2 linked regions of the Ovis aries genome follow. The protein of the gene in region 2 interacts with the protein of the main gene of each other region in a pairwise test. Links are inferred from orthologs where the notes say so. Each region holds a gene or a part of one and is shown on either strand. Other genes may lie near its edges.

The links.
Region 1: the proteins of DISC1 (region 2) and PPP4R1 interact in a two-hybrid assay, tested with the Homo sapiens proteins (2 studies listed by BioGRID and IntAct). The link is inferred for Ovis aries from reciprocal best matches to the Homo sapiens genes DISC1 and PPP4R1.

Annotation. Positions count from the first base shown.
Region 1 is NC_056076.1:42,181,556-42,188,625, forward strand, and holds part of PPP4R1 (serine/threonine-protein phosphatase 4 regulatory subunit 1), read right to left. Parts: intron 5,201-7,070; coding exon 5,052-5,200; intron 4,256-5,051; coding exon 4,160-4,255; intron 2,809-4,159; coding exon 2,623-2,808; intron 1,614-2,622; coding exon 1,452-1,613; intron 1-1,451. UniProt on the Homo sapiens protein: Regulatory subunit of serine/threonine-protein phosphatase 4. May play a role in regulation of cell division in renal glomeruli. The PPP4C-PPP4R1 PP4 complex may play a role in dephosphorylation and regulation of HDAC3.
Region 2 is NC_056078.1:3,812,497-3,820,034, reverse strand, and holds the start of DISC1 (disrupted in schizophrenia 1 protein), read right to left. Parts: upstream 4,787-7,538; 5' UTR 4,712-4,786; coding exon 4,612-4,711; intron 1-4,611. UniProt on the Homo sapiens protein: Involved in the regulation of multiple aspects of embryonic and adult neurogenesis. Required for neural progenitor proliferation in the ventrical/subventrical zone during embryonic brain development and in the adult dentate gyrus of the hippocampus.

The DNA.
Region 1 (7,070 bases), on a different chromosome or scaffold from region 2:
TTCATTTGCTCAACTAAAGTAGCAAATGACTAAATATGGCAATGATGCTAAAAAACAGAGCTTTTACCACAAGAAAAGAAAAAGTGTGAAGAAAGGAGAGGAAATGGTATTGGACTGGAAGTGAAGACACCATATAAACTAAATGCCTTTTCAAACCCCCTCCCCAAGCTCTTGTCCCCTGAGAATGAGAGCCTGGAGCTCAGCTCCAGACACCCAGGCTCCCCAGGAAGGACCAGGGCTGCCAGGGAGACAGGAGAAGCCGGGCCTGAAAGTGAGATGGGCCTGGAAATGAGGGGCAGAAAGGACACAGGAGGTGGCTTCAAGGGCTCTCAGTTGCCAAATTTACGCTTCAAACAAACAACAGAAATGGATTCTGTTACACAGAATAAAAAGGTAATTCTGGAGTCCACACTGATACTATAAAAAAAAAACCAAAAAACTTCCAAAAAGGCAGAGGAAGAGAAGGAAAAGGTTATCTTTACAGGAGATACTAGTAACTATAGAAAGAGTTACAAAAATAGAACATTGGTATTTTACAATCCACACGGTCATAAGTGATTCAGGGGGGAGCTGGGTACAGATACGCGAGCACAGAAGCAGCAGGGAGAGATGCTCAGAGCCTGAATGCACTGCCCACTGAGAGGCGCTGACCCATGACCAGGAGTCTGGACTCAGCACCACTGGGGCCCCAGGAGCCCACACCGTGTTACCCTTGAGAGGAGACCCAGGACCCATGCAGAGAGGCCGTGCCTCTGCACGCACCACCTGTGACACTGAATCTGACTAGCTGACAGCGCTCAGACATTTCAAACTGGGGACATTCGGCAAGACCACCAGCCCAGCCTCTTCAAACAGGCCCAGGCCACTGAAGGTGGGAGTCAGGGAGGCTGATCTAGATCTAAGGGACTGAAGAGACACTTCAATGCAACGTGTGATTCCCCACTGGGGTCTGAGTCGAGAGGGGACAATTCGGGACACTCTGAGAAACTGTGATTACAATTCTCCCACACCTCAGACTTAGGACTACGGTAGCTGCCCAGGGCTAAACCATTTACCGTCAGTGCTCTCGTACTGGAGACCACGGTCCACGTCAGATGGGGAGGACAAGGGGACCTCTCAGAGTTCCCACACAACACAGAAGGCTGAACGTCTACAGGACTTTCTGTGTGGTCAGTTCAGTAACGTTTGAGGAAAAAATGTACTAATGTTTGTAACTGTGATCTAACATCATTTTCAAATGAAACTCAGTGTGATTTTTAAATTAAACACTAAAGTGACACCAGCAAAACTGATCAGAGTGGGACTCTTTTCTAAGTCACCTTTTGCCATCAAGCTCATGGCAACACTTCTCACGGAACACAAGGGAACCTATCTTGATGGCAGCGTGGAGTCAAGACTCTAAATCTACAGTGCAAGGCCAGTGTTTTAATGTAAAAGGACTTAGAAGTTACCTTCAGAAAGTCGTGCAAGTGCTTCAGGACACCTATCCTGACTTCATCGAGGTCTTTTAAAAATCCATTAAAAATTGGGACCAGGTCTGCAGCTGTGAGCTGGTCTCCCAGGATGACGGCGAGCTCGTGGATGGAGAAGGCTAACGTTCTTCGAACCTTCCACTGCACGAGTGAAGACGGCGGCATTAGTGAGCTGAACACAAAGTCCTGGTGCTTTGACGTCCGGACAATACACGAAGGCTAATTTATATCTGAACAGTGTTATTAACCTCAAGTGAAATCAAAATAAAATAGTAATAATAGATACCCAGTTTAAAATGCTCACTTTCTATCAAAAACTGGCAGAAGAACGTCAAGTCCCTCAGAGTATGTATCATTCCCCCTTTCACTCAGGAAGGAACACAACACTTGGCGAGCACGGTGGAGCCGCCTGCGCGCCTTCGGAGCACGGGGGGCCCAACCTCCTGGTGCACCCCTCCTGGCTCCACACGGTCTACCCTGGATTCAAAACAACCCCAAAACATATTCTTAAGGAACTGGCCATTAAAGAAATACAAGACTGGGGAAATCTCTTGAAGGCAGCCCTGGAAAAGAACCACTGAACAGGAATGCCCTGTTTTTATAGGCAACTTTATGTCAAAACCTTATTTATCTTCATGTGGGCTTGATTTAAAATTTTACTTTTTTATTTTGCTTAAAACTTTACTTGCTGAGAAGCTGGTTAGGACAAGGGGTTTATCCCCACTCCCAAACACCAGGACCTCTTCCTGAGACAGAATGCTGTGCCTGCAGCGATGTGCGCCCCCATGGAGGAGGGCAGGGTGCTCCGCTCAGAGCTGTCCCGTCACTGTCACCACAGCCACGAGAGGCTGGGGAACAAAGGCGGAAAACCGCTCAGGGTCACCGGCTGTGTGGAGGAAGCATTTCTGCTACTGTTTCTGGGGGAAGGGCCCCACTTTCTTAAGAATTAATCTGCACATACATTTCAGACCACAGCGCCAGCACCTCTGTGAGTTGGGGACGTCGGCGGTTCAAATGGGAGGCAGATTTTAGGGGTATAGTCCAAAAGAAGGCGCGATGTGCGAGTGGAGGGAGGAGCCTGGACCCGCAGGGAGACCCTCTGCGCAGCGCCCTGTGCCCCGGCCCCGAGGTTTGGCCGGCGGCCCCGCACCTGCATGTCCGAGGCCAGTGTCTCGTAGGTCTCGCGCAGGCAGTGCCAGTTCTGGCGGCCGAGCGTCAGCGCCACACCCGGCAGGCTGTAGGCGCAGTGCTTGGCGATCTCGGTGTCCACGGTCTGCGCCCGCGAGGGGTCGGTCATGGACAGGTACTGGTCAAGCAGGGCCTGGGGCACCACGTCCTAAACGAGACAGGGTGAGACTTCGTAGATTAGGTATGCTTATGTTAAATACCTGGATTTAACGCAGCATCTCATACAGCAGCAAAAAACCTGTCTCCACATCTCTAAAAACTGAGAGGTAAGAAAACATGCAAAGGGAAATACATGTATCAGTGGATAAAAGTACCTCTAGGACAAAGACGACAAACAAGACCTTAAAACAGAAAATAGCTTAGATGACGATGAGAACTGTTCACTAAATTTACAAGACGCCAGAAACAAGAGCAGGTGGTTCAGTGCTGGCAAAGATTAGAGTCTGGAGTGACCCAGAGACCCAGGGGAAACGGGTCTGCTCCCGCGCCGCCAACCAGCCAGCATCTTAAAACCACCACCACCACCTCCAGAGGGGAGTTTTAGCAATTATCTATGGAAACTCGAAGTGTGCACACCTCTAACAACTTGTATCAATGATCTTGGGTGATACAGCTTTGCAGGGAGCTACAAAATAAAGGCACAACTGCTGCCTTGGGTGAAAAACCAAGTGGGTGCTCGAGAAAACTGTGAGGGAAGCTCAATTCTGAACTTTGTAAACTTAGTCTCTATTTTTAAAAAATAAAGTGGAAGTTCATGGAAGCAAGGAGCCAGTCTATATGTACTAGCTTGGAAAAGCGTGCTTTAAAACACTGTGAATGTGGGCTCCATTTTTAATCAACAACAAACAACAATCAAGGATTCGCCGCCTTTGGCCCAGGCACCATCATGGTGCACGGGCTTCACCTGCGATGTCAGAGCACACCTGCACCCCCGTCACAGCCCTGCCCACATGGCGGGGGTGCTGCTGTGCTGGGGTGGGGGCGGAGGCGGGTCTGTGTTCCTGTGCAAAGAGCTCCAAGACACGATGTTTTTAAAATGAAACGAAAGAAAGGCACCACCACACCCCAGCGGCCCCACACTTGAAGCCTCTGTCTCAGGGCACCCTGTGGCCGACGGCACCTCATGGCGGCTCTGGCCCTGCGTCCACGTTCTCCTCTCTGAAACCCAGCTCCACTTTACAAGCCACACAACCCAGGCATGAAGACCAGGCGTGACAGCCTGTCTCTGAAAGACAAAGGTGTGCACGCCTGTGCTCACGTGCCCGCAGACTCGCTCTGAGGAAACACGGAAGGAGGGTGGCTGTGGGCACCCTGGGGGGAAGGGGTCATGGTGTGAGAAAGGAAAGGCCTCTGCTTGTCCTCCACTCCACTGCTTGAATCTTCTCATCAAAAAAAGACACACAAGCAAGCACTCCTTTCCGAAACCTTATCAGGAGGGCCAGATTCGGGGAGAAATGGGCTGAAAGCGGGGTGAAAGTAACATGTATGGGGTTGCTGACCTGGACTTTAGCTCTCCTTTCCTCTTCAGGGCTGAAGCCACTGCCGGGGCCCGTGTCTGAGCCATTGTGCATAGAGTGCAGGGCAGAGTCCAAGGTCTGCTGGGAGAAAAGCCACTTAGACAGCCACCCCGTCAGGCAGCTCCTTGCTCCTACACCGTCCAAGCTGTTCACCTTTCACGACCTCCAAAGGAGGAATGCATATGAAGTCTTCATGCTTTTCAACGTTTATAAACAGACGTAAGACCTCCTAAGAGTTCCCCTGCCTCAAATCAAATTTGCAGAATAGGCTGCTTAAGGTTTAAAAATAAATTCCAGAAGAAATGTAATTGAAAAGCAAATTTAGAAGTAATTTTGGAAAGGCCCAAATATCTGAAATTAGCAATCAATAAAAACAGTACTTAGAGGGTACTACAGTCAACTCTTCTACGGTATGTTGTACGCAGTTTTTCTTCTACTATTTCTGGCTATTTCTAAGTTCACAAATACACCTTTTTTTCTTGTCACAGATGACACGGTAGCACGGGGAAAGCCACTGCAGGACACAGGCCGGGGGCCAGCTCAGCCCACACCTACTCCTGGCCTCAAGTCCCGATCTTCGCTCAACACCATGCCTGCTGCAGGGAGAGACCGGTCAGAGACCCAGCGCCTCTCCAGAAAGACAGGGGGGGAGTTCGTCACCCCAACAGAAGGCTCTGCCCCCTGCGGTGCCCTCACCTGGGCTGCAGTGGGCAGGTGGGGAGGATGGACCAACTGCTAACTCCAAGCACGAGCCGTGACCCTCGGGTGTCACAGAGATGACATGTGGTGACTTTATGCAGAAGGGGGGCACTAAGTGGCCGGGATGAGCCCCACGGCCGCCCGAGAACATGTGCCCGCCCCGTGGCACCCTCACCTCCTCACTGATCAAAGGCCCAGAGGCGTCATGGTCGAGCCGGCAGCTGGGGAGCTCGTCCTGAGGGGGCCTCCGGGCGGCCTCGCCGGCCTCGTCACCAGTGTCCAGGCTGGAGGCACGCAGGGCAGCAGCCAAGACATCCACCTGTGCTGTGGGTGGAAGGACAGGCTGTGAGCGGGGCCGCTGTGCGGGACTACCCCTTCGCGGACGCTGTTATGGGCTCAACGAGGCGCAGTGTTCTGGGGACACTACCCTCAAGAAGCTGGAAGAGACCACTGCTGTGGTCAATCATTAGTTTTCCCAGGGAAGAAGTAGAAAACTAATACGCTTTCATGAGATTAAAGTGTTTACCCACTACTGTGCATTATTCTGCGTTAGTACGAGAAGAGGTGCTATCTAGTCAATTTCAAGGTCAGTGAACTATGTTTCGGGGACCATGAGTGGGACTGGCTTACTTACTAAGCCACCTTAGCAGGAGAGCAGTCACACAGACCCTGCCAACATAAAACACGGGAATTACAAAGACGTCTGTGGCAGTCACATTTAAACATCTCACATCTTACTCTGGTTTATTTATATTTTCCTCTAATTTTTTTAAGTGAAATCAGTGACTTGCCCCAAACACAGGGATCCCAAACAAGCACTGTCTTGTTCTCAGGAAAGCAAAACAACAGATCGCCAAGCAGCAGTGCTGAAGTCTGACAACCAGCATTGTCTACGACTTTGAGTTATATCTTCTGTATAAAAGTTGTTCAAAGCGAAGACAAGCATTCTTCCTCCTCTGCCCCAAATGAGGAATTTAGCAAAAAAAAAATATATATATATATTTTGTTTAGCATTAATTCAAGTAACAATCCCCCTGGATGCTCAAAACATAGGAATTTATAAAGTTTAACTGCAAATTTACTTAGTACAAAGATGAGAAAGTGGGCTCCTGCTCTACTTAGAGATGATTAAAAAGCAATCAGCATTTTATTAAGATAGCCTATTACCATGCTTCAGCATTTATAAAATTTACTATAAAGTTTCCTACGAGTAACTGGCAGCAGAGACACAGGAAATGTACAGGATGAGCTGACTGAACACATTACACTGAGGTGTCCAATCGTGAAAGCTTACTCGTGGACTGTATCCCCACTCTTCCGGGAATCTCAGCGGCTATCTGTACTAATCCTTTAGTCACTTCTGCTCCCCTTTCAGAGTCCTCTGAGTTCCCACAAGGAAATCACCGCAGAACTAGAGGAGGCCAACTGTCCGGTCCATGCTCTGGACTGGGCAAGTGCTCTGCCCCTGGTAGACATGGCAGGTGGGGTCTGTGTCCCTGACCCCTGATGACCCTGTCCCGGGAAGCCTTTCACAGAGCATGCCTCACACAGGCAGCCTGCTCCAGGGGGCGCTCTGTACACGCCTGCTAGTCAGCCAATTCTCTAACACCTAATAAACATTAATGGGAATATCGAATATGCTACTTTAAATGCTTTTTAAACAAATAAGCTAGAAGTAATTTGTGTAGTTTGCTTTTTGAAAAGAGCTACACGGACATATGAGTTTCAGGATATAACTGTGTGTTTCCCATCGTGAAACAGTGACTTACACTGTCTGACCTAAAATTTACAGCCTGTAATTGAGATTTTAGTAGCAATACTGTATTACGATTTAATTATTTCTCTAATTCAGCTCCTAAACCTGCTACAATTTAAACGTGTCACCCCATTCTTTCTGTCCGCAATGCTGATGATTGAGAACACAATCATTTATCGACTAAATCATCCAGCGTCCCTTACCGAGCACCTCGTATGCACCAGGTGTGTCCTCCAGACAAGTGACCATACAGTGACAACAGATGCTAAGGCCCAGCGAAGACAACTGCTGACTTCCCCTCCACTGACAACACTTCCCAAGTTCAATGCAACTGGATTTTGTGTGTCTGGAAGGACACTGAAGGTATGGCTCTGCTTTAAAAGCAGTGATCTGCCAGCACTGAGCTAACTGACAGTTTACAAGTTTAGCTTCTGCAAC
Region 2 (7,538 bases):
TTAACAATTCACCCATGTTTTAGAGTCTATAAATATGTAGGGTATATAGTTACCAGTGATCTAACATAGGGCTGCTCTGAACATCAGCTTGTCTCCATAACTTTAGTTCAGCCAGTGGTTGAGAATACAGTTGTGAGAGGCACCAACCCACAGTTCTAACCCTGGTTCTACATTTAATGGCTATGTGACGTGGAAATAAGAGGGGTGAATCTGCATCTCAGATTTGTATGGGGAAAATGAAAATTATAAGTAGCTACCTTAAAATGGTCTGGGGCAGATTTCATCACAGCAATTCCTGCTAGACAGCCTGGCATACTGCAAGCTCTAAAAAGCTGCAGACTTTCTTATTCCCTCCTGGTAGCACTGATATCTTCTATTTGCACAGTCAGTCATATGCCCCAAGGTACTCGTACCATTTACTTCACTGAATCCTCAGGCAGCCCTAACCCAGAAGTTACTGTCCCCGTCTTATCTTTTTTGTAAACAGTTGAGGAAACTGAGGATCAAGGACACACAGCTTAGAAAGAAGCTCCAGGCCTCTTTTTTCTCAGTGCCAGATTCTCAACTGGGCTTCCTAGTGGCTCAGATGGTAAAGAATCTGCCTGCAATGTGGGACATCCGGGTTTGATCCCTGGGTGGGAAGATTCCCTCAAAAGATTTGATGTACCACTTATGAACTTATTACAATTAAATTTCTTTTTAAATACTCTGCTATTCACAGTCAGCAGAAACAAGACAGGGAGCTGACTGTGGCTCAGATCATGAACTCCTTATTGCAAAATTCAGACTGAAATTGAAGAAAGTAAGGAAAACCACTGGACCATTCAGGTATGACCTAAATCAAATCCCTTAAGATTATACAGTGGAAGTGACCAATAGATTCTAGGGATTAGATCTGATAGACAGAGTGCCTGAAGAACTATGGAGGGAGGTTTGTGACATTGTAAAGGAGGCAGTGATCAAGACCATTCCCAAGAAAAAGAAATGCAAAAAGGCAAAATGGTTGTCTGAGGAGGCCTTACAAATAGCTGAGAAAAGAAGAGAAGCTAAAGGCAAAGGAGAAAAGGAAAGATACACCCATTTGAATGCAGAGTTCCAAAGAATAGCAAGGAGAGATAAGAAAGCCTTCCTCAGAGATCAATGCAAAGAAACAGAGGAAAACAATAGAATGGGAAAGACTAGAGATTTCTTCAAGAAAATGAGAGATACCAAGGGAACATCTCATGCAAAGCTGGGCTCGATAAAGGACAGAAACAGTATGGACCTAGTAGAAGCAGAAGATATTAAGAAGAGGTGGCAAGAATACACAGAAGAACTATACAAAACAGATCTTCTTGACCCAGATAACCACGATGGTGTGATCACTCACCAAAGAGCCAGACATCCTGGAATGCGAAGTCAAGTGGGCCTTAGGAAGCATCACTATGAACAAAGCAAGTGAAGGTGATGGAATTCCAGGTGAGCTATTTCAAATCCTAAAAGACAATGCTGTGAAAGTGCTACACTCAATATGCCAGCAAATTTGGAAAACTCAGCAGTGGCCACAGGACTGGAAAAGGTCAGTTTTCATTCCAATCTCAAAGAAAGGCAATGCCAAAAAATTTTCAAACTACCACACAATTGCACCCATCTCACACACCAGCAAAGTAATGCTCAAAATTCTCCAAGCCAGATTTCAACAGTACGTGAACTGTGAACTTCCAAATGTTCAAGCCGGATTTAGAAAAGGCAGAGGAACCAGAGATCAAATTGCCAACATCTGTTAGATCATCGAAAAAGCAAGAGAGTTCCAGAAAAACATCTACTTCTGCTTTACTGACTACACCAAAGCCTTTGACTGTCTGAATCACAAGAAACTGTGAAAAATTTTTCAAGAGATGGGAATACTGGAGCACCTGAACTGCCTCCTGAGAAATCTGTATGCAGGTCAAGAAGTAACAGTTAGAACTGGACATGGAACAACAGACTGGTTCCAAATCGGGAAAGGAGTACGTCAAGGCTGTATATTGTCACCCTACTTATTTAACTTCTATGCAGAGTACATCATGAGAAATGCTGGGCTGGAGGAAGCACAAGCTGGAATCAAGATTGCTGGAAGAAACATCAATAACCTCAGATATGCAGATGACACCACTCTTATGGCAGAAAGCAAAGAACTAAAGAGCCTCTTCATGAAAGTAAAAGAGGAAAGTGAAAAAGTTGTCTTAAAACTCAACATTCAGAAAACTAAGATCATGGCATCTGGTCCCATCTCTTCATGGCAAATAGGTGGGAAACAATGGAAACAGTGTCAGACTTTATTTTGGGGGGCTCCAAAATCACTGCAGATGGTGACTACAACCATGAAATTAAAAGCCACTTGCTCCGTGGGAGAAAAGCTATGACCAACCTAGACAGCATATTAAAAAGCAGCGATTACTTTGCCAACAAAGGTCCATCTTATCAAAGCTATGGTTTTTCCAGTAGTCATGTATGGAGGTGAGAGTTGGACCATAAAGAAAACTGAGTGCTGAAGAACTGATGCTTTTGAACTGTGGTGTTGGAGAAGACTCTTGAGCGTCCCTTGAACTGCAAGGAGATCCAACCAGTCCATCCTAAAGGAAATCAGTCCTGAATATTCATTGGAAGGACTGATGCTGAAGCTGAAACTTCAATCCTTTGGCCACCTGATGTGAAGAACTGACACAATGGAAAAGACCTTGATGCTGGGAAAGATTGAAAGTGGGAGGAGAAGGGGACGACAGAGGATGAGATTGGATGGCATCACCGACTCGATGGACATGAGTTTCAGGAAGCTCTGGGAGTTGGTGATGGACAGGGAATCCAGGCGTGCTGCAGTCCATGGGGTTGCCAAGAGCTGGACACGACTGAACAACTGAACTGAACTGAGCTGATTCATACTTTACAAGAGATGTGGTTTTTCCAGATGGCACAGTGGTAAACAATCTGTTTGCAGATGCAGGAGACAAGGGTTCGATCCCTGAGTCAGGAAGATCCCCTGAAGAAGAAAATGGCAACCAACTCCAGTATTTTTGCCTGGAAAACCCATGGACAGAGGAGCCTGGTGGGCTAGAATCCATGGGGTTGCAAAGAGTCAGACACGACTGAACACACACACACACACACACACACACACACACACACACACATTCATACTATAATCAAATCAAACTGGTGGTGGTTTGTTTGTGTTTTTTTTTTTTTTTCACCACTCCAAATTAACTGGGTTTTGCTTAGTGAAAAGAGCATCTGAGGCTCTTATTTAGAGCTTACTACGTATCTCAGCACCAGGTTGGGTGTTCACATCCATGGCCACAGTCAAACCCACAGCGACTCTATGAGGTCACTGTCATTGTCCCATTTCATAAATGGGGCAACTAAGACACAGTTAAGTGCAGGGTTGAGATGCAAGCTAACTGTCTCAACCTCCAGCTCTTAAGGCTCTGGTATTACCCAAATCGCATTTGCCTGCCCAACTGACCATACATTTTGCAAAGTGCTTTCACACACAGCAGATATCCAGACGAGATGGGGAGGGGGGAGGTTACCAGCGTTCTTTTGTGTATGTGATGAAATCCGAGGTTCAGCGCTGCTAAAGTGAAAGTGAAATCGCTCAGTCGTGCCCGACTCTTTGCGACCAGGCTCCTCCGACCGTGGAATTCTCCAGGCAAGAGTACTGGAGTGGGGTGCCGTTTCCCTCTCCAGGAGATCTTCCCAACCCAGGGATCGAACCCGGGTCTCCCGCATTGCAGGCAGACGCTTTACCATCTGAGCCACCGGGGAAGACTCAAGAAGCTGTCAAAGTTACCCGCCTCCTTCCAGTCCAGCAAGGACACATAACTCCCTCACTCCAAATCTCATTCTTATCCCAAAGTCTCAAACTCCTTTGCACGTGTATTTTAAAAGCGAGATGGCAGGGGACATCCTGCCATTCCTGCAAAGCAGCTGTGCACTTCACGGCCTCAGTGTCAACGCTGAGCGCTGACAGCGTTGACAGCTTGACCGGGGCTCCCCGGCTCCAGCTCCGAGACAGCCGAGGGCATCACAGATGCGGAGGAAGTGGGAGGTGAAACTGCTCGCAGAGCAGCCCCTTGGGACGGTGCCAGCACCGCGTCCCCCATCCCACCCCAACCTCCTCCCTCCAGGTCCTCGAGTGCTGAAACCCGAGACTCTGCGAGGTGTCAGGACGCTGTTCCCGGACCAGGCGGCGGGGCGTCCCCTGTCCGGCGAGTGCGCAGGGGAGGGCGCGCGGAGCCCCGAGCCTCGGCTGGCTCAGTCCCCGGGCGCAGCGAAACCCAGCCGCGCGCTCAAGCCGCCTTCCTCGGCCACCGGGACCCACGGGGGCGGGAACTGCGGCTCCCGGGATCTCAGCACCGTCTTCCGGGAGGACCTGGCCCGGCTCGGCGCTGGCGGGCAGCCCCAGGCCCGACAAAGACTTCAGCTCGGCACGCCACGCGCCCTGCCTCAGTTTCCCTCACCCCGCAAGAGTGCAGAAGCCCTAGATATTAACCGAGGCGCACCCCGGACCTAAACGATTTCCAGAGGACAGAGCTCACCCTCGCCGAGGAACCCTCGGCCCGACCCGCCGGGCGGCCGTGACAGCACCCCTACCTGCGCGGTGCCCCCTGCCGCCACCGGCCGGGGCGCCCTGGGGAGCCCCGCCCAGCATGCGCCCCGCCGGCTCCTCCCGATCCGCCTCCGCCTTCTCCATCTCCGCTGCGGCCAGAGGGCTCTGTGCACCCGAGGCCCGCGTCCGGGAAGCTAAAGGCCGAGCCGGACGGGAAGTGGGGAGGGGGCTGGCGAGGAAGGGGAGGCTCCTTCCTCCTCCCGGGCTGGACCGGCTGTTTCCTCTCCAGCCTCGGGGCAGGCACGCGCGCGCGCACACACACACACACACACACACACACACACACACACACACGCGGACGGCTGGGGCGGGCGGGGCGCGCAAGCCCGCAGCCTGGGTCACAGACCTCGGAGAGCTTATTTTTCACTCTCCCTCGGTGTTGGACGAAAATGAGAGGGGAAGTGCGGTGGAGAGGACGGGTGTTCGGGAAGGGAGAGACTAGGAGGCCCTCCTTGGGGGACGGGAGGGTTCCTCCCAGACACTAATTAGGGAAGTGACCACAGGGTTGATGGAAGAGCTGGACGGAGTGAGAGGGACTCTTTTCGCTAGGAGCGGGGGGCGGGGGGAGGATGAGGGGAGACTGCAGCTCACCCTGGGAAAGAGAGCGGGGCGAGTAGTTCTACATGAAATGAGGATCCAACTGTTTGAATCTTCTGGCAGCACTGGGCTGGCCCCAGATCCGCCTCCCCACGTTGGGCAGCCAGCCCAGGACACAACTGCGATCCGTGCTGAGTTCCTAAGCCAGCCCACTCGCCTCCTCTTGTATTCATGCAGGAGTCTCCTGGAGCATCTCTGAAGACGCACCTGCCAGAAATGGTTCTCGCCCTTAAGGAGCTTCCCCGGCCTCCTATGGGGAAGATAAACATGAGCGTGTAAAACTAAATCATGACGTACAGCAGAATATGCAAGAGCCAAAGTCTGTCATGAAACACTGTAGAAGTGGGAGGAGGGGCGGTAAGAGGCAGTGAAAGGTCGGAAAGGCTCCCTGGAGGAAGGGGAAGGATCGTCCTAGAACTGCAGGAGAGTCAAGGTCGTTCAAAAGATCAGGACCATGTGAGTGAAAACACCTATATATGCTTAGAAGTCGGAGTGTTGTGGGACAGAATGAATGTGAGCGTTAATATGAAGAGTGTGGGGAACCATTGGATGAGGCTGAATGTAATGACGGTCACCACCAAGCAGAGATCCGGATTCACCGCAGTTTGTGAGATTAGAACAAGCTGTTTGCTTAGCTAGTTGACAGAAATGGGAGGCAAGAGGTGACCAGCACTAAATGATGTGGAAATGCCAGAACTGCCTTGGTACACTGTAAAGGAATTATCTAAAGGCTTAGGGAGAGTGAAATATTAGCATAGACTTATCACATAAGACCCACTTACTGACTCCCAGGAGGTCCAGAGGACACTCTGAGAAATAACTCTGTGACCCAGCATGCCTGGTCAACTCTTCTCTGTAGATCAGAAATTACCATGGAAACTGCACCACTGCAGCGTGGGTCCTTAAATGCAGTGAGAATAGTTGGATCCCAGCGTGGCTGGAGCCGAATGGTGGCAATGAATCACCCAAGGCAGGGTGGGCACGGTTTCTGTAATGGACAGCAAAGGCAAAGCAGCAACCAGAACAGTCTGCCCCCACAGACCTATGGCATTGATCAGTTAGTCATGGCAATCCAGGATGAGAATTCTACTGAATTCTTATGTGATCTGTATGAGCAGGAAAGTTCTTGGTCAAGCAAACAAAAGCCTAACTTAAATTACTAAAACAGAGAGACTCCATCAATTCCCAGACTTGAGTCAATTTGCAGACCCAAAACTCCTTGAACAAAGGGGATGTTTGTCTCCTACAAGATTCTGCAACATTGTCAAAAATACATACTATTACTCTTTCTTCGAGCCTTCCCCAAAGGGACATGTGGCCTTCTACTAGGGTGACTGTGCCTTGGGGAAAAGGAAGTAATCAGACTTTTCAGGAATTACTGGACACTGGGTCTGAGCTGACACTGAGTCCAGAGCATCCAGAACATCACTGCGGTACTCCTCCAAGCAAAGGTTTGCAGAGGTCAGGTGATGAATGGAGTTTTAGCTCAGGTCCATCTCATAGGGGTCTCTGCACCCATACTGGGGTTATTTCTCCAGTTTGGGAATGCACTGTTGGAATAATTAGAATAATACTCAGCAACTGGCAGAATCCCTACATTGGCTCCACGACCCTTAAAGTGAGGGTTATTTTGTGAGAAAGAGCCAAGTGGAAGCCTCTACAGCTGCCTCTGCCTTGGATGAGCAAAGTGGTTGCGGCGGCAGTCCTGGAAGTTATCTGGCGGCTCAGCAATACAGGCTTGCACTCAGCAAAGCCAGTCTGACCATGGCCACCGCTGAGGGTCCAGTCCGTCAACAGCAGGACCAACAGTGCGGCAGCATTCCCCAGTTAATAACCAAAGGCAATACTGCCTACTTAGAGAGACTGCAGAGAGTAATGCCATCATCAAGGACTTGAAAGATGCACGGGTGATTTCTACCACCTCCCCGTTCAACACGTCCCTGTGGCCTGTGAAGACAGATGGAGCCTGAAGAACGGCACTGGGTCATCATAAACTAAACCAGATGGCGATTCCAATTGCAGCTGCCCTACCAGCTGTAGCTTCACTGTTTAAGCAAAGTAACACATCCCCTAGTATCTGCTATGCAGCATTGGTCTGGCAAAATGTTTCTTCTGCATACCTGTTAGTAAAGACCAACCACAGGGCAGCCTTTCTTCAGCTGGCAAAAACAGCAGTACAGTGAAGACTGCCCTCCCTCAAGGATAGGTCAGTTCTCCAGCCCTACATCCTAATTTGGTCAAGCAGGGACCCTCTTGCCTTTCTGCTCTGGAAGACCTCACACTGGTCCATAGCACTGATGATGTTATGCTGATT